Linked DNA regions of Tamandua tetradactyla. The protein of the gene in region 2 interacts with the protein of the main gene of each other region in a pairwise test. Links are inferred from orthologs where the notes say so. Each region holds a gene or a part of one and is shown on either strand. Other genes may lie near its edges.

The links.
Region 1: the proteins of RABAC1 (region 2) and RAB1A interact in a two-hybrid assay, tested with the Homo sapiens proteins (2 studies listed by BioGRID and IntAct). The link is inferred for Tamandua tetradactyla from reciprocal best matches to the Homo sapiens genes RABAC1 and RAB1A.
Region 3: the proteins of RABAC1 (region 2) and PBX3 interact in a two-hybrid assay, tested with the Homo sapiens proteins (2 studies listed by BioGRID). The two-hybrid records come from large-scale screens. The link is inferred for Tamandua tetradactyla from reciprocal best matches to the Homo sapiens genes RABAC1 and PBX3.
Region 4: the proteins of RABAC1 (region 2) and MIEF2 interact in binary tests that used the Homo sapiens proteins (3 or more experiments, as listed by UniProt). The two-hybrid records come from large-scale screens. The link is inferred for Tamandua tetradactyla from reciprocal best matches to the Homo sapiens genes RABAC1 and MIEF2.

Annotation. Positions count from the first base shown.
Region 1 is NC_135343.1:38,325,402-38,332,694, forward strand, and holds the start of RAB1A (ras-related protein Rab-1A), read right to left. Parts: upstream 3,007-7,293; 5' UTR 2,714-3,006; coding exon 2,691-2,713; intron 1-2,690. UniProt on the Homo sapiens protein: The small GTPases Rab are key regulators of intracellular membrane trafficking, from the formation of transport vesicles to their fusion with membranes.
Region 2 is NC_135342.1:21,683,670-21,691,593, forward strand, and holds RABAC1 (prenylated Rab acceptor protein 1), read right to left. Parts: upstream 3,012-7,924; 5' UTR 2,866-3,011; coding exon 2,810-2,865; intron 2,505-2,809; coding exon 2,292-2,504; intron 2,005-2,291; coding exon 1,907-2,004; intron 735-1,906; coding exon 633-734; intron 551-632; coding exon 462-550; 3' UTR 303-461; downstream 1-302. Other genes in the region: sodium/potassium-transporting ATPase subunit alpha-3, read right to left, coding at 7,609-7,637. UniProt on the Homo sapiens protein: General Rab protein regulator required for vesicle formation from the Golgi complex. May control vesicle docking and fusion by mediating the action of Rab GTPases to the SNARE complexes.
Region 3 is NC_135328.1:48,007,555-48,014,384, reverse strand, and holds the start of PBX3 (pre-B-cell leukemia transcription factor 3), read right to left. Parts: upstream 3,014-6,830; 5' UTR 2,962-3,013; coding exon 2,762-2,961; intron 1,822-2,761; coding exon 1,748-1,821; intron 1-1,747. UniProt on the Homo sapiens protein: Transcriptional activator that binds the sequence 5'-ATCAATCAA-3'.
Region 4 is NC_135332.1:1,888,753-1,896,741, forward strand, and holds the start of MIEF2 (mitochondrial dynamics protein MID49), read left to right. Parts: upstream 1-4,974; 5' UTR 4,975-5,244; coding exon 5,245-5,289; intron 5,290-5,822; exon of another isoform or gene 5,823-5,995; intron 5,996-7,568; coding exon 7,569-7,721; intron 7,722-7,849; coding exon 7,850-7,989. Other genes in the region: FLII (protein flightless-1 homolog), read right to left, coding at 1-68, 168-343, 631-734, 1,046-1,207, 1,291-1,376, 1,658-1,738, 2,763-2,834, 3,139-3,249 and 1 more. UniProt on the Homo sapiens protein: Mitochondrial outer membrane protein involved in the regulation of mitochondrial organization.

The DNA.
Region 1 (7,293 bases), on a different chromosome or scaffold from region 2:
AACAGGTAATTTCATGTCAACCAATAAAAATCTAAAATCCTCTTTTTTCTGAGGAAGCCAAATCTTTTCTTTTGCCAAGAACCCATCTTCTTTAGCAAATTCAGCAGCACCCATAAAGCAGATTTTTAAAAATTCTAAAAGGAGTAAGATAAATTATTAGACAATAAACCAGAACAGGTTAAAGAACATTTGGGATGCACTTCTAAACATTAGCTAACACACTGTTCTTTCACATTAGCAGAACCTGGCATAAAGTGGCTATAAATGGTAGCCATTAAGACCACATTCTGGAATCAGGAAGGACATACACTCACTAAAAGTTTTAATTTAAAAGAAAGTCTAAAATTTGAAAAAATGGATTTATATCTGGTTGATAAAACTCTTCATTTCTTCCCTTCTCTTTTTCATTTTCCAAGTTTTCTCTAATCACTTTTACAATGGCAACAAACCACGCCAGAGAAGTCAGAAAAATGATTTATTTCTGGGTCTGATTCTGTTAAGTTCATTAATCTAGAGTCCTCAAAACAAAGGATAATATGATACTTCAGAAGTATTTTCCTTGTCGTTTATTAGCCATTGTTCCTTTTTCCCCTTGAAAAATTCTCCATACTCACTTCTGATTCACCAAATCTAATCACTTCTAATTTCCTTACAGGTCCTTTTCTAAGTTTTCCTTCACCAAACCAGCCAACCAGCTACCCTCCTCTGAAAATCTTTTTAGCCCAATCCGTGTCACACATCTGTAACTTGCAGTATCTACTAGTCCATGTCACACATCTGTAATTTGCAGTATTTACTAGTATTTAGCATATATACAATCTGTTTTCCGTATTCCATTTTAAGCAACTTGATGGTAAGGACTATATTCCTAAATGATATATGATAATGATAAAAAGAGTGTTCTTATAGTTTTTCAAATTCTTTTACAAACATTTGAATCTCACCACTATCCAAATAAGAATGATTCCTATTATTCCATTTTAATAAAAGAAGAAACTGATTCAGAGGTTACACAGTTTGTCAAGTTTCTGTTCAACCAATGTTCAACAATATCTGTCCACAGCACTAAATACATGTAAAATGTATGTAGCAGATAGGAAACTCCCTGAACAGCATAGGTTTAAAAACCTCAATAAAGTGGCAAATCCATGTTCTCTATTGTAGCCAGGATTAGAGACTTCAAATTCAAATGTCTGACCAGGCAAAAACACCTTTGTCCAACTTAATGCAAAACTGACTTTGTCCTTGGAGCCCTTGATAATTAAAAAGCTGTCAACTTAGCAAATATGTTGTTCTAAGAACAGTATCCTCAAATCCTTACATAAAATACTACGTTTTCTGTCTAGCACAAAAGTGGACGTTTCAGCAACAAACCACAGTATTACAAAACCTGAAGTCAGAATGCATTTTGCAAGAGCCATGTGACACACACGACCGCTAAACTCATGGGCAGAAGTGTTTAGGTGGAAATGTTTAGCAGGAATTGACTAAAGTAGCACAAAGACTCAAGTTTTAGGAAAAATTGCTCTTCTCCCTAAAAACTTCTGATACCGAAGAGGAATACCAACTAAATCCCCTCCAATTATTTGTTTACACACACACACAGACATGAGAATTTTCTTTTAAGGGTCAGTGAGGAAGCTCAACAAAGTCTTCCCAAGAAAAGTGAACACTAGTTCTCAGGAAAAGTGTCAGGTGTGTTAACATCTGCTGTGGTGACTTTTTGCGTAAGCAAGAAAAAGAAATCCATTAACTTTTCATGACACGTCACGGAACCTCATTCCCTACCTGCAAGCATTCAAGCAGGTAATCCAAAACCTACAGATCTATCATAGGTGCCATTCGTTCTCTTTCAACTTGACAGCAAAGCTTCCTTTAAATTGGCAATTTCCGGAAAATATACCTTGGTTTCATTTTTTATTTATTCGTGTGTGTGTGTATTTTACCTATAGAAGACAAAATGACTTGTGTCTCTAAAAATCATCTCCCAAATGATCAGGTTTCCCAGGAAGCCGATGGACCCCGCGAGTTCTTGAATTCTTCCAGGAAACAGAATTCAAATTTTAAACCACTTCTTCCCATCTACTCATTCTCCTCAATCCCACGCAGTCCTGAGAAACGTCCATATTACCTGCAACCTGGCGGGGAGGGTGGAAGGACAGCCAACAAGCCCAGGATTTACAAGTAAAGCTGGTTTCCACCCTGGCGATCCTGACAGCTCCGCAGAGTGCGGACGCTGGGTCTGACAGGGTCCGCTAATGAAAGAGCTCTCCCATCCTAACCTCTCCCCTCAAAAACAAGTCCTCCTTAAGCAGTCACCGCTTCAAGGAAAGCTACTCCTTCACACTGCCCTACCACCCGACTCTCAAACGCCCCACCCCCCTCAACTCTCTCGGGTTTCCTTCCTCTACCCCGGCCCCGCACTCCCGTTCTCCACCCTGAGCCTACCCAGGCCCCGGTGGCTCGCCCCGGACCCTCAGCCCCCCGGCCCGCCCTCCCCACCCCCTTCCCCGCCGCCCCTCAGCCGTCAAACAATGGGGCTGGGACTCCCGGCCGCCGACCTCTCTCGTTCCATCGCCCTCCCTTCGCCCTGGCATATGTCTCCACACTCTTTCTAGCCCTCTTGGCCGCCTCTGAGCTTCCCCAACCTGGCCCACCAACCCAGCCGACCAGTGCTCTCCTGCACTCACTATTCGGGATTCATGCTGGACATGTCACTGCAGCTGCCGCCGCCACCGCCGCCCTTGCTGCCGCAGCCGCCGCCCTGACTCTCCGCGCCACGGGTAATCTAAGGGAAGGACTGAGATAGGCTGTTCCGGGAGAGCAAACGTCTTCCCCCACTCCGTCCCCTTAGAACACAATCAGCAGACGCCGCCACTCAGCAATCGCTTCCACCCAAAATGGCCGCCGGCGAACCAGGAAATAGGGAAGCCTTCCACCGAGGAGCCTTTATACAGCTCAGAGGGCGGCCGCACCGCCTGGCATGCCGGGAAACAGAGTCGCGAGCCGCGACTGTGAACGCTGAGGGCCGACCGTGCAGCGCGGCCGCCAGGACTCCGTTTCCCACCAAGCCGTGCGACTCTGGTGCATGCGTACTTAAAGGGTTGTCGTCTGCCCCATTCCCCACGCTCTCCCTCCCCTCCCTCTCGCCCCTCCTTGTCCCGCTGTACGCTGACTCGCTGACTAGGACTTCGCTCGGACTCCCCCTAGCGGATTGGCTAAAGAGGAGCGGTCCTGGTGATGTCATCAGGGAGACGTGGCAGCAGGGAGAGTCAGCGCCCCACGGGGAGGGGGAGTAGAGGGGCAGAGGGCGGTGCGGACCGGCGGCGGAGGAAGGGGGCGGGGGGAGACCGGGACGAGGAGGGGCGAGAGGGAGGGGAGGAACAGTGTGGAGAATGGGGCAGAGAGAAGGCGGGGTCAGAAGAGGTGGAGGACACCGCCTGTTTGCGGAGGCGGGGAGGGAAGCGTGGCTGGAGACAGCGACCGGTGGGTCCCCCTTTCCGTCCGGCTTTTGCTGGCCTGACCAGCTTGAGGCTTGACTTCTCGGCTGGTCCAAGGACGTCCCCTGTGAAGTCAGAAGGGAAATAAAGGGGCCTCTGCAAAAGACCTAGTGTCTGGAAAACACGAGGCTGTTTTTTCAGTTCTCTTACTCACTCACCCAACCCCATCTGGGTCCGGTCCTCGTCCAGTGTTGGCCGCGTGCGTTACATTTTTCTTCTCTACTTCTTTCCATTCCTATTCCAGCTCTTACCACCTCAGCCTGGAGCGCTAGCCTCCGGATGCACTGTTTACCTCTAACTCCTCCAATCTCCAGTCTATCTTGCGCACACAGCCATATTTATATCCCCGAAACAGCACTTCGAGATCCCACAACGTCGATGGCTCCGCATTGCTTGGACGGCACTCTGCCCGGAATCCTTAGTCTAAAATTCGAGATCCTCCTGTTCTGGCCCCATTGTTAATTTTAGTCGATACTTAAAACTGAGCCATTCTGCAAGGCTTGAAAGGAGTGTGTTAGAAACATGCAATCCATCACTATAAAATGCTTGAGAACTCCGTGAGTAATATTAACACGTTTTTAAAATTTTTATGGTCAGCTTTCTTTAATCAGCTCAGGAATTTAAATCTCCACTAAACTTTAACAAATTATCTTGGGTTCTTGAATTACAAAGGGCATAGTATAATACATTGTCCAAAGTTTATCTTCCACCTAGGTCTAAGGATGGAGAAAATTATCTCTCGAGGCTGATTGCAAAATCACTTCAAATTCCCGTGACACCAAAATGTGGAAAGAAGGTGAATTCCACCATGTGTCTTAGTTGGCAACCTCATCAACCAGTACACAAGAATTCCTTCGCATAATGTTGATTTCTGAAATAAACATAGCCACCACCCCAGGAAAAGAAAGGGTCAATGATAGCTACCAAACTATTACTAATCTGGAGTTTTAACAGCCCTCGATTCTTCCTGCTTACAGAGATTTCGTAGAATAATAATAATAAAAAATCAGAAAAGCACTCAAGGCTACAGCCTGAGACAAAAATACAATTCCTAATTTGTGTCTCCCTTGGAGGTTTAACCGGTGAACTTCCTTTAATTGCTTATTGTCTTTTCCAACAAAGAATTGCCTCCTAATAACTTTTCACCCAAGTGAAAGGATAAATAAAACAATATAAAGCATATAGCTCAACGACTTTGGGAGCTTTCAGTGAATGTTACTTTTCTCCATCCCTTAACTTCCCTGAAAGTTTTAGGTGTGCCTGCTGTATACCAAGGACAAAGGCTTCTTGCCTTTGTTGTGATGATCTAATGCGCAAGAGCAGAGGCAGAGTGGGAATGGCAGATGGGTGTTTCCTATCTCCCACTGCAAATTGCCTGTCATTTTACATTATTTCTTTCCCAAACTTAAAATGTCTAAGCTCTTGTGTTTAAAAGCTTTACTGTTAATATATTTCATGCTTATGTATTTAGGAGCAGCTTCCTTTATCATTCACTTTAATAACTCAAAATAATTCATTAAACTAGCATGAGCCCTGTGGGCTGGCTGCTCTGTTGCGGAATGGAAACTCTTCTAGAGCTGTTTGCCCTCTCTTTCTCCCTTTTTTTTTTTCCTTTCTTCTTTTCTGTCTCTTTCCTTCATTTTTTTCTTCCTTTCTTCCTTCCTTTTCTTCCCTCTTTCTTTCTTCTTTTCCTCAAATATTTATTTCCTGGATGCAATAAATGGTTTGAAACTTGTACTTAGAATGTTGAGGAACACAAAAATGAATGATTTACGGTTCTCTGTCTTCAAGGAGTTTACAATCTAGTGGTAGAGAGATAAGTACACAAGCCAGACAAGGCCTAGAGGGGAAAATGCAAAAATAGATTAAAATGATCTGAAGTGAATAAGGAAAAAATCAGTTCAGTAATTGCCAAAAACTAGGAATGGGAGGACAGAATTGTCTAGAAAGGGACAAAGGGAACTTTCTGGTTTATGGAAATATTGTATATCTTGATTACAGCAATGGTTAGTTACTCAACTGTATATGACTCAACAGAATCGTACACCTGAAAAGGGTAAATTTAACAGCATATAAATAAAACCTCAATTTTGAATCTAATGTTCAAAAAATGTTATGAGGTGGATATACAGAAGAGGGAAATAATTCCAACTCCAAAAATTAGAGGCACTTCATAAAGTAAGTGGTATTTGAATCAGACCTTGAAAAAGGATAAAATTTGGATCATTGGCTGAAGGAGCCATTTATCCAGAATACAAGAGTGTGTGAACAAAACCATGGAAATGTGGGTCCAAGATGGTGGCTTAGTGGAGTATGGGATTTAGTTCATCCTCCAGAGCAACTAGAAAGTAGCCAGCAACAGTACAGAACAACTGCTGGGGCCACATCAGTGACCGGACACACAGTGTACCCCACTCTGGACAAGCTGGACGGAATGCAATCCCACCCAGAACCGTGAGCTCCCCAAGCTGCGGAGCCAGCGCCCCTCCCCCACAGGCTGCTTCTCAGAGGGGAAAGGAAAGAGACTTACTAACAGCAAGGGGCTTAGCTCAACCAAACCCTAATTATGGAATTAATTAACAAATTCTGACTACTAAAAATAGGGCCCCAGCTCAGTAGAACCTTGAGTAAAAGCTGAGGTTGCTGGTTTTTGCTCTGGTGCAGAGGGGACAGGGCTGATGGAAAAAGAAAAAAGAAAAAAAAAAGCATAGGTTTTTTTAGATCAGACAGCCCAAAATACTTGAAAGGGTCTGAGCCCTGAAGGAAAGGAGGGGGCACATAGGACCTGGAGATACACAGAGCAACGTACTAACTTAAGCTCTTCATTGGCAAACCTGAGGAATGGGGGTCCTGCTCTGAAAAGGGTTTTTTTTCCTGTTCTTTTTTGTGCCTGTGTATCTACAGCTTGACTGCTCTTTGGATACAACTGCAAGGCTTCTCGGGCTCCAACTGCCCCACACAAGGCAGAATTAAGCTTGTGTGAGAGTTTGTCTGGAGCCTATACCTTCCTCAGGAGAGGGGTTGGGCCCAGCTCAGGTGGAATCCCTCCCTCAAGGAATTCAGACCCTGAGGTCTGGAAAACTGAAGCAATTACAACCTCTCCTCTGTCTCAACCACATCCCTAGCCTACAGTCTCTCCTCTGTCTTAACCACATCCCTAGCAGAGAGAGTCTGCTGAAGATAAAGGTACCACATCACCTTATGCTGGTGGAACCCACAGGCTGACAAGCACCACATACTGGGCAGGATAGGAAAAAAAGCAGAGTCCAGAGGCTTCATAGGAAAGCGTTTCAACCTGCTGGGTCCCACCCTCAGGGAAATCTGACACAGGTGACTCTTTCCTCCTGAGGGGAGGCCAATTTGGTCCGGGAAAATCTGATTGGGGTCTATAATACCTAAGTAGACCCTCCTAAGGGGGGAAAAAGGCACCATACAGGCAGGGCAAGAAACAAGAACTGAAAAATTCTGATCTGTTAAACAAAACCTAAGCTGGAGGTCCAGAATAAGCTGAACTGAATGCCAAAGAACAGATAGGCAAAGACATCATCCAGCAAGAAAATCCTAGGTAAAAAAAGTGAAAACAATCCCCAGAATAAGCTAATTAAGGAAATTAAATGCCTAGACGCCAGCAAAAAGTAATGAATCATACTAGGAAAATTGAACATATGACCCAGTCAAAGGAAAAAACCAACGATTCAAATGAGATACAGGAGTTGAAACAATTAATTCAGAATGTTCGAACAGACATGGAAAACCTCATCAAAAATCAAGTCAATGAATTGAGGGAGGATAT
Region 2 (7,924 bases):
GCTGATTGTGCCTGGTGTCCCTTTACTACAACAAATCTCAGCTGTGAGCTGGCTATATGCTGAGTCCTGTGTGTCTTCCCAGTGAATCATAGAATTTGGGGCTGCTCATGGGGACCCCCGACACATGACCCCTTCCCCACGTTTCTTTTCTCCTCAGCACATATCACTATCTGACACCCCAGACCACTTCACTTATACATCTGTACGGTCGTCTCCCACACCTGGGGCCCATCTATCTTGGGTACAGCAGTACCCTAGCATCACTCTACAGAGACACACAGAAGACACTAGGAGACACCTGCTGAATAACAACTGTAACAGCTTTATTTCCAAAGCTGGAGTTCCTCCCCTGGGCTTGTAATGGGAAGGGGGCCTTGGGCCCCGGCAGCAGAGCCTTGCAGGATATGGGTGAAAGGAGCCAGGGGAGCTGGCCTGGGAAGCGGCGGGTCCTTGGAGACACCTCACACAGGCTCCATCTGCAGTTCCTCCCCATCCCCAGCCTCCACCTGGTGGAAGGCGGCGTGAGAGCCGATGACGACCAAGGTGGCACCTGTAGGAAACTGGGCAGGTCAGGGCAAGGCTCCCTCACCTGCATGTCCCCACCTGGCCATACCACCCAGATCTTTACTTACCAAGGACCCAGAAGACCGCTGAGCCCGCACCGGCCAGCCAGAAGAAGGGGAAGGAGATGCCTCCGGCCAGGGCATACTGATGGGCTGGGCTCACCTCTCGGCCTGGGGGGTGGATGGCATTGGGGCACGGCTCCGACACTCCATGCCCTCTCCCAGATTCCCCCGCCATCCCCCAACAATCTGGTGTCACAAGCTCTAGAGCCTTAGGATCTAATTCAAACCCATCTCACCAAGACCCCATGAGTCTTGATCACAGCTTCTCTCCAACATCCCCATCTTCCTCTGGAGTATCAAACTTGTCCTCAGCCTCCGACCACTTGCCCTTCAACCCTTCTTCCTCTAGAAAACTCCTAGCACCCCCTTCCCAGTACAGGGCTCTCCTGCTCCAACCTGAACTCATGTAGGCCAGGGAACTCAAACTGATGGCTCCTGGACCAAGTCTGACCTGTGGCTATGTTTTCTGAACCTGTACACTGTTTTCCAAGAACAAGTGGGTGACACTACTGCATTCTCTGGTGACAGCAACAGGCCGAAGACAAGTCGTGGCTAAGCTTTAGATGCTCTCTCCATGTCCTGGGGTGGCCCAGCACTTCCTCACCCAGTCCACCTTCATCGTGTACATGACTTGCAGGCCCCTGAATTTTAGTTTCAGTCCCTGAAGTACTTTAAGTCTCACTGATTGTGTGATCCCAACTTCTCCCTGCCCCCACTCCAAACCTGAGCTTCCCCTGGATGGGGACGAAGGTCCTCCTTTGTTTGCCCAATGGAACCTCATTCCAGGCTGGAACCACAACAAGGTACTTTATAAAGCCATAGGTCTCAGCTTCTCTAAGTCCTAAGCTCTTTCTGGTCCCACCTTCCAGCTTCTATCTCAGGAAGCAGGAAAGGGGAGAGAACAGGAACTAGGCCAGTGTAAGGCCACCACCTGGTGTCCAATGGGGGTACCTGCAGCTGATGCTTTCTGCAGAGGTTAGGGAGGACCAATTAGGGAGGAGTGGAATGGCTTGGGGAGGAGCCAGGTGAAGGGTGGGTTTGGGGTATCTCATTGTGGATTTGGAGAATAGCAATTGAGAGAGCTGAGGCTGGGTAGGGGCATCTAATGTGTCTGGGATTTTAAGAGATGAGCTGTAGGAGACTTAGGGTAGATCTAAGTTTGAGTAGATTTAAATTCAGAGGGACTTGAATTTAAATTTAAGTTTGGGGGTCTGAGGTTTGCATTCAGAGAGTCCAGAAGTTGAGAAGTCGGGGCTCGGTCTGGCCAAGGGGTATCTCACCAAAGAGCACAATCTTGGACTGCAGAGTGCGCAGATAGAGGATGTAACAGGCACCAAAGAAGACCGCCAGAGCCACCAGCAGCATGGGGGACGTCAAGCTGGGAAGGAGGGGAGTGAAGAGAGGCAGGGGTCAGGTTGCAGGGACTGGCCAGCCAGGGGTCCCCCATCCTTCTACAGGGCAGATGGAGGGCTTCTTCCTTGACACCAGGTCACGCTGGTCACAAGGCCTAGCCCAGATGTCAGGGGAGTAGGGACCCCACCCTCTGGGACACAAGGCGGGGCCTGGCCAGCGAGGGGTGCGGCAGCTTGCTGAGGGCGGGGTCCACCGGGCAGAGCAGGGCCACCGGGTGGGGGCGAGGCCAGGGCGGGCGGGAGAAGCACTCACACGCAGTAGAGGATGAGGCCCAGGAACACGAACACGTAGTTGCTCTGGTAGTGCTCCACGTTGCGCACCAGGCGCTGGCACAGCTCGCCCAGGTTGCGGGGCCGCGAGAAGCGCCGCTGGTCCACGAAGGGGCCCCAGGGCCGGATGGTTGCGCGGCGCCGCTCCAGCCACTCACGGCCCGGGCCGGATGGAATCAGTTTGGGCAGCAGGGTCCTGGAGGACGAGGCCGGGTCAGCGGTAGGCTGGGATAGAGGCCTGAGACCCCGAGGAAGATGAGGGTTGAGAGGGCCGGACTCCGGGCTCCTGGGGGAGTGGGGCTTCGAACTCCTGGACCCCGGGGAGGAGGGAAGGAGGGGCTCAGACTCCAGAGTCCTCGAAGAGAAGGGGACCGGGAGCCTGGACTCTGGTGTCTGAGAGAAGAGGTTTGCCATAGGGGGTCCTGGGACCCGGGGGTACAGGGGGTCAGAGCCCGGACTCCGGGTCTTGGGTTGGGGAGTGGCTAGGGCCGGGTCGCTCACGTGGCGCTCATCCCATCCACTTCGGCATCCTTCTGCTGGTTCTTCTCGGCCGCCATATCTGCGGTGTGAGGGGCAGAACCACCGAAAGGAGCCCGGGGCCCCGCACACCCCGGGCCCCGCCCAAGCCCGGCCTCACCCGCGAAATGGACGTGGCACGGCTCGGGAGTTACTGGGGACGGTAGGGCTGCCGCTGAGCCTTCTGGGAGTTGTAGTCCTGGAGGTGTCTGGGAGGTGCGGGCGCCATGATGGAGGACTGGCTCGCAAATCACCTTGGGAAATGTAGTCCCAATGAAGTCCCAGGGAAGGGGGGGGCAGTGGAAATCTCTGGGCATTGTGGGAGTTGTAGTTCTAGAGCTGGGGGCGTGGAGTCGGGGAAGGTGAGCTGTCGGGAGTAAGGGTATTATGGGAGCCCTCCTGGAAGAAGGTGGTGCTGTGAACACTAGAAATTAATAAAACACTGATTCCTGGGCCCGTACCCCAGATGCTCTGGTTTAGGGGGTCTAGAGTGGGGCCCATAATTTGCATTTCTACCACGTTCCCAAGTGATGTTGATGATGCTGGTCCCTGGACCACATTTTGAGTAGCGAAGTTGTAGAGAATTCGTGGGAAATTATTCCTTTCTCCCACCAGGGACAGAGGCTAGTAGGAGGGCTGTGGCTGTGGGGGTGGTGTCTGGGAGTGAAGCACAGCCTCCCTCCAATCTTTGGGCTTTCAGGGTCCAATGGGTTAGGACTAGACCCCGCCCACCACGCACCTTGGCATAGGAAGGAAGTTGTGAGGGGGAAAGAGCTGCAAATTTATAAAAGAGGAAGCTTGTATAACTAAAAGACCTGGGATTCTGAGGTGAGACTTAATTGAAAATGCAGGCTGTGTGGCTTTGACTGAGTCATATCTCTGAACCTCACATCCTCATCTGGACAGTGGCGAGCCTCAGAGTGCCACACTCATGGAGTTATGAAGATTCAGTTAAATGAGCCAGATAAAGTGCTTAAAGTTCTCAACACTTTATACATGCTCAATAAATATAGTCACTGCTGTCAACACTGTATCATCATTAATGTTATGATGATCATTTCTGGAGTTCAGCCTTCCCCAATTTCACAGTTGCATATTAGGGGACTCTGGCCCCTTGGGTATCCCAAAGAGTGGCTGGTGTCTGAGGCATGGGCCTTTCTTTAGTTCCCCAGCTGTGGTTCTCCCAAAGTCTTTAAACAAATTCCTCAGTGGACTGTCCCTGCCCCGGGGTGAATTGTGGGAAGACAGGACCAGAATTTTAAAGAGGGTGCAGTGGAACAGGGCCTTAAGAAATGAATGGAGTGCCATGAAGTCTGGGCTCCTTACATGAAGTGAAGTCGTAATTTTCCAAGCCTGGGACTGAAGGGAGAAAACCTACGGGGAATAGCCAGGTGACTGTTAGCCCCAATTCTTATCTCCCAAGATGCTCAGGCCTTTTGGGTAGGGCCTTTCAGCCCTGGTGGAGGGCACTCCTGCTGGAGGTGGGGAAAGATGACTCCTGCCAAGGGAGCTAGTGCAGCAGTAGTCAGGGAGGCTACTGATGGTGTGCCTATCCGGCCCCAAGCTACAAATGAGGGTCAGATTGTCTAGTTACCATTTCCTTCCCCTCTGTCATCCTTGGGCTTTCCAATTTGTTCAAGTTTTCCAACTCAAGTCCAGCTTTGCCTCAAAAAATCAAAGGAGGTCTATAGAGGGACAGTTAGCCTAGAGCATGGATGGGCTAGCAGCACTGGGATGGGGGTGGCAGAGGTAACCAGTGGAAGCGCCCCCGAAGGGAAGATGAATCTTGGGGAAATAAAGTTGGAAGCCAAGATCCAGCTACCTCTTCCCAAGATGTTATTCTTTCTCCATGGCCAACCTTGAAATGGGTTTCCTTATGAGAACTGATTCAAAGTGATTTCATTCCATCACCTGCCAGTACCTGTTCTGAGTAGTTGACATATTTGGGCAAAGGCTGGGAGACATGGAACATGGATGATGTATAGTGGTCTCACAGGGACCACGGCAAGAGATGTGGTTGCAGAGGAGAGGACATTATAGGGGAGGGACCCTCTGAACCCCAGGAGGAGGGTGAACTTTGAATTGTAGGAGTTTTGAAGTTGGGGCCTTGACACAGGGGCAGTGTAGGAGAAGGGTCCCTTGAAATAGGAACTGTGGGAGGGGAGACTGTGCTCATTTGAATCTGTGGTGGACCCTAGAAAAGCCATATCCTTTAATCCTCATTCAGTATTGCTGCGTGGAAGCTTTTTGGTTACCCCCAGAGATGTGACCCACCCAATTGTGGGTGACAGCTTTTGATTAGATGGTTTCTATGGAGGTGTCTCTCTACCCATTCAAGGTGGGGTTGCTTTCTGGAGCCCTTTAAGAAAGAACCATTTTGGAGAAAGCTTGAGAGTCACAAGAGCCCATGCAGCCAGAAGCCTTTGGAGATGAAGAAGGAAAACGCCCTTGGGGGAGCTTCATGAAATAAGAAGCCTGAAGAGAAGGCTAGCAGAGGTTGCCATGTGCTTTTCCGGTTGACAGAGAAACCCTGAACATCATAGGCCTTCTCGAACCAAAGTATCTTTCCCTGGATGCTGTAAATGTGCAACTTAATAAATTCCCCTTTTTAAAAGTTGTTCCATTTCTGGTATATCTCACTCTGGCAGCTTGCAAACTATAACAGGTCCCTACAGCAGGGGGTTGAGGGGAAGTGAGCCCTGAATTAGGAGCATTGTGGGAGGTGGTGGGCCCCAGAGCCAAGGGAATTCTGAGAGATGGGGCCCGGAAACAGGAGAATTGTGGGGGATGGGGTCACAGAGAGAGGGGGATTGTGGGAGATGGGGCCCAGAGACAGGGGAATTGTGGGAGATGGGGCCCAGAGACAGGGGGATTGTGGGAGATGGGGTCCAGAGACAGGGGAATTGTGGGAGATGGGGCCCAGAGACAGAGGGATTGTGGGGGAAGGGGTCCTGGATTAGGGGGATGGGGAGAGATCAGGGACCCCTGGCAAGACTGTGGGATGTGAGCATGGCCCTGTGTGCCCTCCAGCCTCTTGGGTTCCCAGAAGAAGTGGCGCTGAGAAGGTCAGAAGCCCTTAGCATAGACAATCAGGATCCTGGGTTATAGTCCCTGCTGTGTAACCTCAAGGGAGTCCCTCCCCTCTCTGGGCCTCAGTTTGCCCATCTGTATATGTGAGTATTTCTTTCCTTTTTTGTTAGAGAAGTTGTTGATTTACAGAACAATCATGCATAAAACACAGGATTCCCAGGTACCACACCGTTACTAACACCTGGGGGCACTAGATGAATAAAGTGCTTCGCTGGCCTTCCAAGAGGGGTGCAAGCTTGCACAGCTCTGTCAGGATCAAGCTTCTGTCCTGGGCACCAGGAGGGGAGTCCAGCACCCACGGCCCCTTCCCTGCTCCGACACAAGCACTCCTCCCTAAGCTGTCGCTTGCTGTAATGGTCACGCGCACACACATAGGCAACAACCCACACTCACATGAGCCCTCGGAGCATCCGGGCCACCCACACACCTCACACTGGTAGCCAGGTGGGCCTGGGTCTGGCCCCACCCTGCCCTCTGACCTGTGTCTTTGAGCTGTGTTAGAGGCAGCCTCCAGGGAAGTGGGGTAGCTGCCCCACCAGAATGGCTAAAATTTAAAAAGACAATATAGAGTGTTGGTGAAGGCACGGAGCCACTGGAACTTTCATACACTGCTGGTGGGAATGCAAAATGGTGCAAGGGCTTTGAAAACAGCCTGGCAGTTTCTGCTGAAGCTAAACATAGTCTATGGTGTGTCCCAACAACTTCTCTCCCAGGCCTGTACCCAGCAGCGGTGCACACACGTCATCTACAGACATTACTAGGAGGTTCCTATTCCTCGCAGTTCACACCGTCAGGGCCACCAAGCTGGAAACAACCCAAATGTCCATCCACAGGCGAATGGATAAACAAAGAGTGTTAGATTCACACAATCGGATACTGAACAGCGAGGCAAGAGAATGGGGTGGCGATAGGTCCGACAACGTGGGAGGGTCTCAGATGTAAGCCGGACCCATCAGAGCACAGCGCACACGGTGGGAGCTCAGTGGACCACCGCCATCATCATCATCTTCATCCCCACCACCTCCCGGAGACCCTACTCCAATATGAGAGGGTCCCCGACTCCACAGTCCTAACTCTTATTCTCAGCCTCTTCCCTGCGCTGACACTATAATCCCATCACCAGACGAATTCAAGCTGCTCTTGCCCTGGCATTCACTGCATCCTAAACCCTGCGGATTCCTTAACCTACTGAGATTCTGTGGCTCTCACGAACGAGCCAGGCTAAATTTCTGGAGTTGTGTGAATCACCCAGCAGCGCGAACCCCCATGGGACACGGTCCCCCCAGCACCATTAGTCTGGAAAGCAAGCACAACACGGCACACCACTTCTCTCTCCCCATTGATATATTTGATAATTGTCCAGAACCAGAGATGGCGTCAGTCGGGGAGTGAAAGGAGTAAAAAAGAGGCCAGGAGAGGGCTGGGAGGGAGGGTAGGGATGGAAGGGTGAGGAAGGGAGAGAAACAGAGACACAGAAAAGGGAGAGGGAGAGAGAGAGGCAGGGGGCAGGGGTGGGGGGAGAGCAGCCAGCCTGGGGGAGAGGGGCAGGAGATAACTTCGGGGGGGGGATGGGGCCAAGGTGGGGCCACAGGGAGAGAGGGCCCCTCCCCCCAGAATATAAAACGGGGGGCACTGGACAGGGCTGTCCTGGGCTTGGGGGGCTGGGAAGAGACAGACTGTGTAACGGGGTGAAGTCAGTAGTAGGTTTCTTTCTCCACCCAACCTGGAGAGACAAAGGAAGAGAGACACAGAGTGAGAGATGGGGAGTGACGGGCCTAGAGAGACACAAGAGCAGAGAAAAAGAGACAGAGAGACCCTGGGAGGTGAGATGGAGAGGGAGAGAGAGAGAGATGGAGAGAAAGGGAGAGAGGCAGTCAGTTCTAGAGGTATGGAGAGAGACAGAGTCACCGAAGGAAACAGAGGGTAGCCAAGAAACAAGAGACAGAGAGAAAGAGAGATACCCTCAAAACAGGGCAGAGGCGGTGCAGGGGGGCAGAGCGAGGTGGAGGG
Region 3 (6,830 bases), on a different chromosome or scaffold from region 2:
GTTTGCTAGGTTTGGTTCTCAAGCTGGCTAGGTCAAAACTTTAAAAAAACAAAAAAATAAATATAAATCATGAGAAGGGGGCTAGAAGGGGAGAAGTACCAACCCCCTCTCCCTAGTAATATAATGCTGTACAAAGTAGAATCAATCTTAATATTCACAACATAGTCAATACCCCAGTGCTTAGCTGTCAGCAGAAACTGAAGTGGAGCCCAGATAGCAAAAAAACCCTTGGACATTAAACAACATAATTTACTGAGAACTATGCACTTTTAGGCCTCTATACTAAGAATCTTCCAAGATTCAATGCTTAATATTTTATTTTATAGTCAGAAAAATGATCTACCATTTTAAATCACAATGCTTTCTAAAGGTAACTAAAAATCAACACAAAAAAAAAGTTGGTAATTTAAAATGCCCACGATTCTCCAAATGCAAAACACATTTTATAAAGAATTGCTCAACAGTAAGAAACCATGCATGCCACGTGAATGAAAAACAGGGAAAGCACACTTTAAGCTCTTTTAGTATTTGCTGTTAATTATGGCTTTAACATATATCTTAATAGACTGCAAAAACTCATGGTCTTTTCTTGATTAGTTTTAGGATTAGAGCAGAATTGCAGGATGAAAAATTTGTTTAAAAGGGAGGCAACTCACCTATCAACCTAACAGTTATTTGTGGTATGCTATCAATTTAATCACAATCAAATTAAACCTTTTAAATAGTATTACTTAAATATTCCTATATTCTGGACTTGAACTTTTTCTTCTTTGGCTTAACTTGAAAAATGGCAACTTAAAATACCATATATTCAACACACACCCAAAAAAAGAAAAAGATATTCAATAGTAAAGATTGTTTAATGTATTTGTTTGCCATACACAGGGCAGATGTTGCCAAACACATACAAGAGCATCTAAATTAAATCTCTATTTCCACTGGAGCCACTGCTATCACATTGAGACTAAAACATTGTCAATTGCCTAAGTCTTACAAGAAAGTTAAATTGAAATGAATTGCCAAAAATTTGCGTAATATGTATCTGTAGTGTTCATTCCAACACTTGTGTAAAACCTTCCTACTCATATATTCCTGCCTTGAACACTTCAAAAACTGTTCAACCTGCATCTGAGGATCTTTTCCTACTTTATAATATATATTACGCCTATTTACAATGCAATAACTTCAAGCATAATAAATGCAATAGTGTATGTGCCTAAATACATCATTACTCTTTCTTCACTTCTCAAAAGTATTTTTCTCACCTAAAAACACTAATTAGAACATGCTATTGGGGTCTTTTCAATTGCCTCTATTCTTCTATCTGTGGAACTGATGCTGAAGGCTGTCTAAGTAAAACAAAGTTCCGGCGATGCTTCTCAGGGACTCATTCCCTGGCATCCAGTCTCCCGTTGCTCCTTTTAAAACCTGACACACAAACAAGGCGAAAGGAGCAGAGAGGGTGGCTGGCTCTCTGGGCCCCCTCCCAGCCTGCAGCCAGGGGCCGCCGCCTGGGGATGGCGACCCAGCCACGTCCGGGTCTACACTTCATTTTAGACCAGAAGTAGAACTGAGAAATCGACACCAGATTTATTGCAGTTTTTTTCTCAAGATCAGGAGGTGGGAAGGAGAGAATGATCAAAGATGGCGGTGCCCAAAAGCAGCAGCTCTCAACTGGAGAGTCGAAGGAGTAGTTCCGACCCCACCTCAGGGGTCTCCAGGCCCACTGCGGGGCGCAGCTTCTTACCTGTTTTCTCTTTGATCTCACACAGAACGCTGAAGAGTGCGGGTTTCATTCTGTGACAGTTCAGAGCATGTTTCCTAAAAAAACAAATAGCAAAACACAAAGGTATTAGCATCACCTATGGAATAATATGGCGCCTTCCTTTAAGTTAGACCCAAGACTTAATTCCGGTCCTCTATTTTGAAAGGCTATTTTGAACGATGGGAAGTCAACAAGAAACTCAAGTTGACTAGTTAGCGACAGCCGGGAAGCTCTGGCGAAAGCTCGAGCTGGAACGAAGCGTGATTCATCTGCCCGGCAGGCAGCAGCCTGGGCGACCGCAGGGCGCGAACCCGCGCTGGGAGCCTTGATACATGGACAGGCAGCAGCGACCCGAGGAAGAGGGCGGATGCGGAGAGGCTCCCGCGTCAGCTCTCCGTAGAGGGAAGAGCGGGTGCTGCTCCCGCAGGCGGGCCACGGACAGCGGACGGGTGACAGCTCGGCAAAGTTTGCGGGGCGGCTCTCCCTTCCCGGAGAACTTGGCCGGCCGCATCCGAACCCGCCGGGGAGCCTCCCATCGTCCCGCGCCGGGGTTGAGGTGACCGCCCGCACAGCAAGGTCGTCCTTGGTCAGGTCGAGCCCCGGGCGCTGGGGCTCAGGACCCGAGGAGAAAGTTGCACTTCTCTCAAGTGCAGCCCGGACCTCTCTCCCAGCAGTGTGCACCGGGGTCCAGGCGGGAGGTTTAAATCTTGGGAGGGGGCCGGGCTGCAAGAAGGCTGGACAAGAAAAGGAAAGAAAGACAAAACATCCGCGCGGCACCAAATCTGTCCCAAACCCCGAGAACAACTTTCTCCGACTCCCGCCTGAGTCGAGGAGCGCGGGCAAGTGCCCCCGAGGCCAGGGTGGGCGACCGGTTTTCGGAGAAAGTTCCCCGCTGGGGACTGAGACCCCCGCCCCCAGCGTCACCCCGGGTCGCGACTCAGCCGCGGGCCCGGCTCCCGCACGCACACAAAAGATGCTTAATGAGACGACACCAACTTTGCTTGCGCCTCGTCCAGGCTCTGGTCGGTGATGGTCATGATCTGGTGGAGGATGTCGCCGATGTCCTGCTTCCTACCGTCGCCGTCCGCCCCTTCGTGGCCGTGCGGGGGAGGCGGTAGGGCCATGCCCCCCTGCACCGAGTGCCCGGCCAGGTTCACCCCGGCCAGAGTCTGAAGCATCCTGGATTGATCGTCCATCCCGCCGCGCGCGGGCGGGAGCGGGCGGCGGCGGCGGCTGAGGAGAAGGCTGAGGCGGCGGCGGCGGCGGCGGCGAGGGAGGAGAAGAAAGAGGGGGAGGGGGAGGGGGAGGCGGCCGCGCGCTCCCCACCCGCGCCGGGAGGGGGCGGCCGGGCCGGCGGGGCCCGCGGCTGAGGCGGCGCGGACCGGCCCTGGGCTTGGGCTTCCGCCGCCGCTGAGGCTGGGGAGAAGCGCCTGGCGGAAGCGCCGGGTTCCGCGGCGGTGGCGGAGGCAGCAGAGTCCGCTGCCCTCACGCGGCCGCCGCACCGCCTCCTTGTCGTCCTGCGCCCCGCCGGGCGGCCCCGCGCAACTTGCTCCTTAGCCCTGGCCGAGTTGCTGGGACGCCCGCCACCCCCCGCGCCAGCCTGCGCACTCCCCTCCTTTGGCCGCCGCCACCGCCTCAGCCAGGCGGGATCCGCGCCTCAGCGGCCCCAGGGGAGGGAGCGGCGGCGGCGGGCGGTCGCGGAGGATGAGGCCAGCGGACGGGCCGAGGGACGCGAACGGGGCGGAGGAGGAAAGTTTGGGAGCGAGCGGGCTAGCGCGACAAGGACTAGAAGCCCGATGGAGGGTCCTTTCGCGGCCAGCCGAGCGGGCAGCGGATTGATGGGGCTGGAGAAGTCGCCGCCGCCACTGCCTGAACAGCGCACCCAGCCAGCAGTCGCCGCGGACCGGGCTCGAAGGCCGCTTGGCTGAGGGATTGACAGGCTGCCAGTGCCACTCACTCACTGCGGCCCCAGCGCCCGGAGGGAGGGGCGGGGGCGAGCGGGGCGGGCGGGGGAGCGCACCCGTATGCTCCGCCTCCGGAGGCGGCGCGCGTGTTCATTGGGCCTTACGCCTCCCGCCGCCGCCACTGGCACCACCCATGGAGTTCGAACCGCCCCCTCTGGCCTCGGATCCTTAGCGCCTGGGTGCGCGCCACAGGATCCTCACGACGCGGTCGCGTCCTTGTCCATTGCGATTATCCCGACCCGCAAACATTGTAGTCGCACCCCGACTCCAGTCCCCTAATGTTAGTGGTAGGGAGTCGGGGGTGTCGTGTAGGAACACGTAGCAACTCGCTCGGAGCCAACCGTGTGCTCCCCCGCAACTGCCGCGTGAGCTTCAAGCCTGGTACACTTTTCCGTTCTTGCCGTCTTTTGGTGGTACCCTCAGAGTACTAGCCGCGTGTCCCGGGCCAATCGCGTCGTGCTTGGAGTCGAATGGGGTGGGACAGAGGTATGAGAGGGCTGTCCCAATTGGAGCGTTCGAAATATCCTGGGCGGTGATGGTGAAAAAGCGGATGGTGGCCCCGCCCCTCTCACGATTACTATAGTAACTGAGAAGGCGCTTAGTCGGAGTTGGCGCCAGTGCGCGGGCCTTTTGCTGCCCCTCAGGGGGTGACCAGTTAGATGGGCGCTGGGTATACTTGAAGTCTGAGCGGATCTGAGTACCATACACTCTCTCTTGAAAGGGGAGCATAGCAGAATGTGTCAAAGGGTTTGGGAGGAGAAAAAGAGGCCCAAGTCCAGGACTAATTTCAAGGCCTACAACCCTTTATACACTGCAACTTCTGGTAATTCATAGACTACTCCTTTGGCAGTGTTTGTGTTTAGCTGCTTTCAGATGTACTGAAGCTGCAGAAATGAGCTCTTTACCCCAAAGATACATTTGTTTGGGAATAGACTGTTTTTCTCCTGTCTACTTTCCCCCATATCCCTGAATCATTTAATATTGGTGACTCCAGCCACTGATTTTTCATATGTATCATGCAACTTCTTCCATTCTACCCTGTCAATAAATGACTAAAAGCATCACACTGTTTTGGGATCTGGACCTACCACATCTGGTGGACACTTGATCTTGCTTTAACCTGATTTCCCAAGCAGGGGATTTAACATATTTCCTCTATTTTGGATTCAGGGAATTTCACCCTAGATGGATCCTTTGGCTCACTGGTTCAAAAAAGTTCTGTTCCCAAACTCAATAAACTCTCTTACCTGAAATCAAAATACTGGTTCAAAGGTATGAAAAATGGCTCTTATTCTGTAGAGTTTAATCTAAGACAAGCAGTTCTTTAAATGCCAGATGGAGTCATAGTATGAAAGAAGTAGCCCTCTCAGCTCCAGATTCTTTCCTTCATATGATATGCGTACTTTTAACGACTTACCACTGCAAAGCTAATAGCTAACCTTTCAGTTAGGCAAGCTAAAATCCTTACAAACTGCACAGCTGCTGAGGAGGAAGTTCCAAACAATCCATTCTGCTTACTTACCTCAGAAAGAAGCCCCCTCAGGTTTGTTAATATCCCTGGATCTTCTATAGCCCAGGTATGTGTCAAATTTCTGATTCTACTTTCAAGCCCCATATTATAGGTTACTCACAGTCATCCCTGATTGGGTTCTCTCTTTATTCTTAACTTGTTTTTCAAAGCTGTCACCAAGTCCTCACTTTTTTCTTTTTTTTAATGCTCCGCGAATTTGCATGTCATCTTTGTGCAGGGGCCATGCTAATTTTCTCTGCATCATTCCAATTTTAGTATAATGTGCTGCCAAAGCAGCACCCTTACTTATTTTTTATTAAAAGGACAAAAGCAATGACAATCTTTTGTAATTCTCCACGTTAAAGATGTAAAACTACAGAAATCTATATGAAAGATGCCTTAAACTCTAAGATGCCTTCCAACTCTAAAATTCAATGATCCTGTAACTATCTATCAGGCCTCCTCCCCTGCCTGCCCTCCTTCTAGGCTCATAATCTTGACTAATCAGTCATGAGGATGAGGCTAATTAGCAATGGGGATTTATGGTTATTTCTAGCCCATTCCAAACAATGAGTTATGTAAGCAAAAGCAACATATATAAAAATGTAAATAAAATTAAAGAAACATTTAAGCAAATAAAGGCAATTGGGAACTATGGGCTCTGTAAACAAACCAGAACATAAAAACATAAATTAGAATTAAGAAAACAGTTAAGCAAATGCCAGCAATTAGGAATAAAAATAGTCTTGTTAAATGCCTAACACTAGCAGCTATTTTACCATACACACCTCTAAACCCATGGTCATTCAGTGATGTGTAAACTTGATGCCGTAATTCCACTTTAACTGATTGGAGTAGATTGACCTTCTGCTTGGGAGGTTTCACTTTTTGCTACTATCAATGTAAGTTGCAGTAAAAGCCAGAGAGTCCAAGCAAGAATTCCCTCACAGGCTCATTGACAACTGTCATTGATTTAAAGCATAAATTATTTTAGATAGGTTTCCAAGCCCCAATAAACACTGTCGACTAATTGCAGATGCTCCGAGATCTCTTGTGCACTTGCCAGTTTTTCATGTAGGATGCTGCCTTGTCTCCACTCAGCAATCTGAGTCACACGGCTGATGCTTTCACAGAGAAGAGAAAAGAACCTCCCTAAGTACCTGAATCCATCTTTGCTGTTCCTAAGGCAGTGATTATTAAAAAGTCAAGGGAAATGTAATTTACTTTGGGTGAATGTACATTCATAAGAGGTTAACAGTGGCAAAGTGGTGAAACCCAAGTAAGTGCTCCCTCACACCCATCCCTTTCCCTGGGTATATATTAACATCATCTTTGCCTCTACCATCCCTGTGTTGGTTATCACAGCAGATGCCATTATTGAGCACTTTTTCAGGGCTGGGCACTCTGCTCTGTTTCCTTTGCTTCACCTTATTTCACAAGAAGCCTATCTGGGTGGGATTATTATTATTTAAGTAAACAGAATCAGAGAAGTTTAGAAGCTTGTATAATACCACAACATTAATCAGTACTGAAGCTTGAATTAGAATTGTGAGCCCACCCTCTAAAATACTGGGCAAAGAAATCATTTAAT
Region 4 (7,989 bases), on a different chromosome or scaffold from region 2:
CCGTCGAAGTCCAGCTTGTTGGAGTTCAGGTAGAGGCGCTTCAGCTTGGTCAGCTTGCAGATGGCCGACTGGTTGGGGGGGGGGATAGGCAGGCAGGGGCTAGTCAGGCTGGGCACAGCAGCGCGCCCCCCCCCCCCCCCACGTGGCCAGGGAGCCCGTGCACGCACAGGCAGTGAGGTGAGCTGGTTGCGGGACAGGTTCAAGGTCTCCACATGCACCCACTGGTCGATGCACAGGGACAGCTCTGTGATCTGGTTGCTGCTGAGGTTGAGGCGGCGCAGGCTGGGGAGGGTGTACAGGCACTCGGGCACCCGCGTCAGGTCATTGCAGGACAGGTCTACATCTGGGGACACAGGCAGTGGGAGTCAGCAAGCGCCCTCAGGGCCTTGAACCCCAGTTCCACCATCCACAGGCTGTGCAGCCCTAGGCAAGTGAATTAACCTCTCTGAGCCCGTTTCTCTCCATGGAGAGTAGCACAAGTTCTAGGTGTAGAGCAGGTGCTCATAACCTAGCAGTACTTGCTGCATCACAACCACAACAGAATACTCATGTAGCCCTTCTCCTCCCTCACGAAGGGGTCAGGGAAGGGGGCAATCGACACCCCATCAAGTTAGAGGGGGACCCCCTGACCTGCCAGGCTGCTCAGGCCCTCCAGGCTGGTGGGCAGGTTGCTCTGGGTCCGCTGGGTGTTGCGCAGGTGCAGGGTCTGCAAGGCCGTCATGGCAGGGAGCTGCCTGCAGGGACACAGGGCAGGCTGGGCACGTGGTGGGGGCAGGGCCAGGCCCCGGGAGCAGGGGGTGGTGCCTTCGCTGGGAGGGCAGATGGGGGGCTGTATTTGCCCAGGGGGACAAGGCCAAAGGTGGCTGCAGGCAGAACTGATGACATTTAGAGGCCTGAGGGTATAGCAGGCCCCAGGCCAGGACTCCTCAGAAGGAAAGGCTGTGGGGGTGGGGCCTCACGGGGTGGGGCGGGTCCTCATGGGGCAGGGCAGAGGCGGGGCCCCGCCTCGCGGTGGAGGGGCAGGGTGGGGCGGGGCGGGGTGGACCTGAGCTGGGCGTGCAGCAGTGGGTTCCCACTGAGCAGCAGCGTCTGCAGGTGCCCTAGGCGGCGCATCTGGGGGGGCAAGCTCTCCAGGCGGTTCTCGCTGAGGTCCAGATACAGCAGGTCGGTGAGGTTGATGAAGAGCTGGTTGGGGATGGTGTCGATGCTGTGGGCGGGAGGGACGGCCTGAGCGGGCGCCTGGCAGGTGGGGCCCACGCTCCTGCCCGGGACCCCCAGGTGGACCGGCACCTGTTGTGGCTGAGGTTCAGCACCAGCATGTTTTTGGCATTCTCCAGCTCTCGCGGGCACTCGGTCAGCTGGTTGTAGCTCAAGTCCTGGGTGGGAGGGAGCAGGCCCTGGTCAGGGCATCAGGGGCTGGCCCCACCTGCCAGACCTGTGCCGGCTCCGGCACCAGGGAGGAGGCATCCAGGGGAGAAGCAAACAAGGGGATTCCAGGGCCAAAGGGAGGCAGCCCTGAGAGGAAGGGTATGGCCACTCTGAGCCTCAGTTTCCCCACGTGAAAGTGGGATAAAAATGGCCCCAGAGACCACAGCTATGGGGTGGGTGGGGACTGCGTGGTTGGGGTGACCCACCAGGTGGGTGGACAACCACTGACCAGGACTGAGAGGTCATCCAGTTTGAAGATGTCATCAGGGACTCCGGAATTCTTCAGGCTGTTGGCTCGAGCCACGATGGCCTGGGGAAGAACCGTGAGGGCCTGTGAGTCTCAGCCTCCACCCCCAAGGCTGGAGAGGGACACTTCCTTCAGGAAGGCTGCCTGAGTGCTGTCACACCTCTGGACCTCTTCCGCCTGGCAGGCTCTTACTCATACCTCAAAGCCCAGCTCAAATGTACCTCACAGCCCAGCACAGGGCCCTCAGGGAACCTTTTCTAGATCTGAGTCAAGGTTTCTAGAATGGAGCGACCAAAGAGAAATCAGTGTGTGGACTGAGAGGAAGACAGCAGAGCTGCAGTCTGCTTTCTGACCCCCTGGGTGGAACTTCCACATACCGCAGACCTACAGGAAGTTCGTGGGGGTGGAGGAGGTTGTCCCATGATTGTAAGAAGCAGTGGTAAGAATGATAATAGCCACTAAGGCTTACTCAGTGCCATTCCACCCTACTTGCACTTGGGGCCCAGGAAGCTGAAGTGACTTGTCTAAGGTCATGCAGCCGGAAAATGGCAGAGTTCACATTTGAACTTGGGCAGCCTTGGCCCAGAGGCTGTGCCCTAAACCTCTCAGGTCACTGGCTGTGGACCTGATCCTCGTTGTCCAGGGGCTCCCCTCTGACCCTCCCACCCCAACTAAGCTCACCCTACCAGCCCCACCACTGCCAGGTGTGACCTGACCTCTGAGCTTAAGTTTCTCCCCTCCCAAAATAGGTGGAAACCAGGGTTAAATGATTTACTACTACTGCGTTGTTACAACCCAAAGTGGGTAATCAGGACTTCTTTTCTTCTTTTCCACTCTGGCCTTCTCCAACTCACACGCCTCACCTTACACAAGCATTATTATGTCTTCCCTTCTTTATGCCTCGGCCCCTGATTCTCATATGGGGGTAGACAGAAATGCTGGCCCGGCCGGGGATCTGGCCTTGCCCTTCCTCTCCGGGCAGGATACCAGCGCCTGCCCCTAGGCCCCTCCCATGTCTGGCACCCCTCCATGCTCGTCAATACCTCACCCCTGTGCCTGGAGGCCTCCCCCTCCCCCCAGCACTCACCCGAAGTGATGGCAGGCTGGACAGCTCTCCATGAAGTGTGGTCAGGTTGTTGTGGCTCACAGACAAGTGCTCCTGGGGCAGGAAGGGAGACGGGCTCAGCAGGCTGGATGGGGTCCACACATGTCCTGCCCACCACTGCAGCCTTGTACCCCATGGGGGGAGGGGCCTCGGCCACGCAGGCCCAGTCTATCTCTGCCTTCTCCTCACTCACAGGCCTGACCTCTTCTTGCACACCTCCCATGACAGGGTGCTTACTCCCTCTCAGCCACCTCTGACCACGACTGTCAGAGTGTTCCTCCTGTGCTGGCCACCCTTTCCACCCAGCCCAGGCTCATTCACAGGGACACCCTCCTGCTCCCCGCCTGAAGCCCCTTACCAGCTTCTGCAGAGCGGCCAGCTCCTCTGGGAGGTAGCAGAGACCCGTGCGGTTCAGCTTCAGCCATCGCAAGCTGGTCATGGACTTGACATTCTCAGGGAAGTAGCCACCCTGTGTAGCCACGGAGTGCCATGGTAGGCATGTCTGGAGAAGGGAGGCACCCCCTCCCGGTACCCCCACTCCACCACCCACCCATCTGGGTGACCCTGGACGAGTCACTTCATCAATTTCCTTACCCATGACATGGGGCTAATAAAAGCCCTCACATGACAAGTGTTGTGAGGATGGACTAACTGTAGGTGTGGTTGGTGGCCTGAGATCTATTTGTCCCACTGGACTCTGAGCCCGGGGAGGACCCGGACAGGACAGTACCTGGCTGAGGTACGTTCCAGATTTGCACTTTGTCTCGCAGCACAGCCCACCCCCTCACACCCCCACCAGGTCCTGACCCCACTGTGCTGAGGCCTCGGCTTGCCACCCCCATGGACTCCCAGTATTCGAATGCCCCAGGTGCACATGGGCAGATGGGGGCTGGGGGGTTCGGGTCTGCAGTGACAGCCCCTCCCTGCTTGGGGGAGGAGGTCTGGGACAAAGAGTGCTCTCCGTGCCCCTGGCTGGTGTCCCCTTTCCCCTATGGCCATCTTCCCAGTCTGTAATGCAGCCTCTCCTAGTGCAGAGAGGACACCTGGAGACCCCGTGGGGATGGGGGACAGGGTGACATGCAGTCAGCCCACGCCTGGGCATGGGAGTCAAAGGTGTGGTGGTTTGCTGGGAGATGCAGGAGGAGCGAGCCCCAGGCTGACGCCCAACCCCAGGCAGAGCGGGGGAGGGGTGGGGGGCCCTCAGACCCCCACCTAACAGCCCCAGGCCCATACCTGCCCCGCACACTGCAGCCACACATCCCCCCACCAGGCCAGCTCTCAGCTGCGGCCCTTCTCTGGAGTCACAGCCCAGCCCACCCCATTCCCGATTCTCTCCAGGACAACCTCCTCTTGCCCTCCAACTGGGCAGCGCCAGGTAGGGGGCAGGGGTGGGGAGGGGGCCGGTAAGAGAGGCAGACCCACACCACCGGGGCTCACACCGGCCTGCACACCCTCCAAGCAACTTATCACGCCCTCCGGACACTCCCAGGAAGGGCTGCAGGGAGACCCTCCTCCCGGAGAGCAAGCCCGGGTCTCCGAGGAGGAAGTGTCTGGCCCAACACCGCACAGGATGTGGCCAGGGGTGGCGGCGGGGCGGGGCAGCGCGGGCGTGAGTCAGGGCCTGGCTGGGCGGTGCGGCCTCCGAGGGGCACGACTGGGGCTGGGGCGGCGTGAACAGGGGCCCGCCGGCCGGCCCAGGGTCGCCCCCGCCGAGAGGCCCCTCTTCTCGCAGCCCGGCCTGAGAGCCGTCCTCCCGCCCGGGCAGCGCGCCGGGCCTCGGGGCCGCGGACTCCGGCTCGGGGCAGGGCGCGGGGACGGTCCCGGAGCGCCCGGAGGGCCACACCCCGGCCCGGCCGGCGATCGCGGCCGCGCGCAGGGCCCCGCGGGCGGCCGAGGAGCGGGGGGCGGCTGGGCCCGCGGCGGAGGAGGCGCAGCGCCCGCGAGCAGGCCCGGCCGGCTCACCTTGAAGTCGTTGCCGCTGAGGTCCACGCCGCGCACGAACGGCAGCACCCCGGTGGCCTCCATGGCGCCGCTGTCGCCGGCGGCCGGGCAGGGCGCGCAGGGCGGATCCGGGAGGCGGCCGCGGGCTGGGCCTCCGCCGCCGGCTCCGCCCCTTTAACCCGCCCGCGCCCGCCGCACCCGCGCCCCGGACCGCCCTGCCGCGGGAACGCGCCTGCCCGCGGGGATCGCCGGGTCTCGGGGCGGGGAGGGCCTTGGCTTCGGCTCCTCTGACGGCGGCAGGGTTCAGCGTCGGCTCCGAGAACCCCGCGGCGGGACCCGGGGATGTTGCTGCAGTCGTCCGACTGGGTTTGAGGGGTTCGGGGGCCCGTTCCCGAGGCGCCCCTGCCTGCCCCAGGGCTTGGCCCGGGCCACCCTATACCTGCGGCCGCATCTGTGAAACGCTTCCTAAGGCCAGACGCACCCCCACCTCCACGTGGAACTCCCAGCATACAGCAGGCGCCCAATGGTGCACGTGTTTGCTATCCCTGCTGGGCATGAGCTCCCCCAGGTGTGTTCCCGCGATCTCCCGCCTCGTGGCCCCCCGAATGCAGCTCCCACAGGGGCGGGGTCCGGGCGCAGTCCAGCGACCCCAGAGCAGGCCGGGCATTTCCCAGCTGCTGCTGTTTTCAGCCACGCCGTGCGGGGCCCTGCTTTACAGAAGGGAAAACTGAGGCCTGTGGAGCATGGACACACCCCCTCACCCCAGGTCACCAGGTGGGCCAGCAGGTAATCCTGAAATGCCCTCAGGTTTCTGGCAGGTGACCTCAGGGCGCCCGGCAAGTGGTCCCGGGAGAAACGTGGGCCCAGAGAGCTTTCTTCACCCCCAGGCTCACTATCCCAGGGCACCCAAGTCACAACGGGCCCTGGGGGCCGCTCATTCCACGCGCCGGGACAGGCCTCCCAGCCTCCACTTCCCAGCCCGCCGCGGGCTCGAAATGGAGTCCTCGGCCTTTAAGTCGAGAGGAAGTCGCGCCGGGCGGGGGGCGTGGCCAGGTGCCCATTGGCTGAGCTGCGCAGTATTTTGGCACGTGGGCGGGGCGCTGTGCGCTCTCGTTGGAGCTCGGCTTCCTCGTCTGCGTGCCTCTGGGGGTCACCGCCCGCCTCCTCCGACCCCGGCCCCGGCGCGCGCCTCCCGGCTCTGCCGCGTTCCATTCCCAGGTGGGCCGGGCGGGGCCCGCTTCGCGCTGGGGCCCGTTCGCGGGGCCGCGACCTGGGTACGGCGGGGCGGGGGCAGCGCCTCGGGGCCCGCCGCCCGCGCTCGAATCCCGTGTTGGGCAAGCCCCTCGGTCTCCGGGACGCGGGTTCCTCGCGTGGGGGCGGGCCGGGCGGAGGAGGGAGGGGTCACGCCTGCCCCCCGCGCCGGCTCCTGGGGCTGGGGCCCGGGCCGGGGCCGGGGCCTGCTCGGCCGCCGGCGCTGGGCGGGCGCCTGCGTAGCCAGGAGGGAGGTGTTCAAATCGGTGTACAGTTCGCGAAGTGGAGGCGGGTGAACCCCCGGTGGACAAACCGGCCGCCCGGCGGACTGGTCAGCCGGCTGGCCGGTGTCCTCGCGCGGCCCCTGAGACCTCTTGTTCTATTTTTAGCCTGGGCGGGTGGGTAGGTGCTTGGGAATGAGTCACTCCCTGGCCCGGGCTTCGGCGGGCACCTGGCAGGCCGGGAGGGCTGCGTCCCCAGGGCCCCAGCCGGCCGTGACTTCATGACGCGGGCTTCGGCCTCCCGGACTGGACAGTCCTGCCTGGTGTGTGTTTGTCCCTCCTGCAGGCCCGGGGCCCCACGCTGGCCCTGTAGCCGCCCCTCTCCCTCAGCAGGTGGGCTTGGTGGGCAGAGCCTGAGGCCGGGTCTCCCTTAGAATGTGGGGCTGGGTCAGGGCCCTGCCTCTTCTCACCTGCCTGAGCCTGCCCAGAAGACACCTGCGGACTCCCTCCTTCTGATCCTTTCTGTCCACCACCTTTGGCTGTTTTGCAGGGGAGGAAGTGGGTGGCGCTGCTGACCCTGACCTTAACTTCTGGGGTGCGTGGCCTCCTAGCAGCTGATGACAGCTGTCCCTCTGTCCCCAAGCCACTGGGCAGTCTCACGTCTGAGCTCTAAAAAGCTTCCTTGCTCACTGCCCCTGCACGTAGCAGGACTTGCGCGTGCCCTCTGCTGCCTGGAGCCAAGGCCGGCCCCCTCTGCCTGTCCTGGGGGTGCCCTGTCAGCATTCAGGGCTGGGAGTGTGGCCCCTGAGTCTTGCTGAGGTCCCCTTAACTCCTCCCCACCTGTCTACACTGGGAGTCTACCCAGCCCTGGTTGGAAACCAGAGCTCTAGGGCTGCGGCAGGCTCTGAGCTGGGCTCGTGGGTCAGAGAGGACCAAGTAGACTCAGGGGCCAGCAGGAAACACTGGGGTGCCACACGCTGTATGTTTGCGGGTTTGTGCCCCCACTGCTCACTGTGTGATCAGGGAAAAGCTGGTGGTGACTCCGACTCACTCCTCTGGGGAGGAGCCAGTCTGCATGAATCCCCCTTTTCCTGCAGGCAGTGGTGTGCAGGTTTGGGGGAGCAGGGCCTTGGGCAGCACCCTGATCTCCCAAGAAACCATACACGTAGCCCTTTTCTCCTGGGAAGCTGTCATGGGCTTGACTAAGTGCCCCAGCAGGATGGCTGCAGGAGCCCTCTGCCCATCCCTGCCTGCCCTGGGCCACCCCCTGGCAGTCCTAGCTTCTCCACTGGGGCTGCCCACATGCACGCATGCACACATACACAGATGTGCACACACATGTGCATGCACACACGCACACCTGGTTCTCTCCCAGCAGACCATGGCTGAATTCTCCCAGAAGCGGGGGAAGCGGCCCGACGGTGACATCTTCGGCACTGCTGTGGACTTCCTCCTGGCCAATGCCCGCCTGGTGCTGGGCATGGGTGGGGCTGCAGTACTGGGCATCGCCACCCTGGCTGTAAAGCGGGTAAGGCTGTACTGGGTAGGTCCCAGCAGGGGGCCGGTGGGGTGCATTTCAGTCCCCCAGTAGCTCGGTGTGTCCCACCTGGAGCTGTGCCTGGACCCCGGCGACCCGACCTGTGTCTCTGCCTCCAGCTCATTGACAGGGCCACCAGCCCACGGGATGAGGATGACGCCAAGTTGGAACCCACTTGCCTGGAGGATAGCTGGAAGGAGCTGAACCTGCTCAGGGCCACGCCGCGCCTGCACCCCCAGCTGCCTCCTGTCCCCCTCAG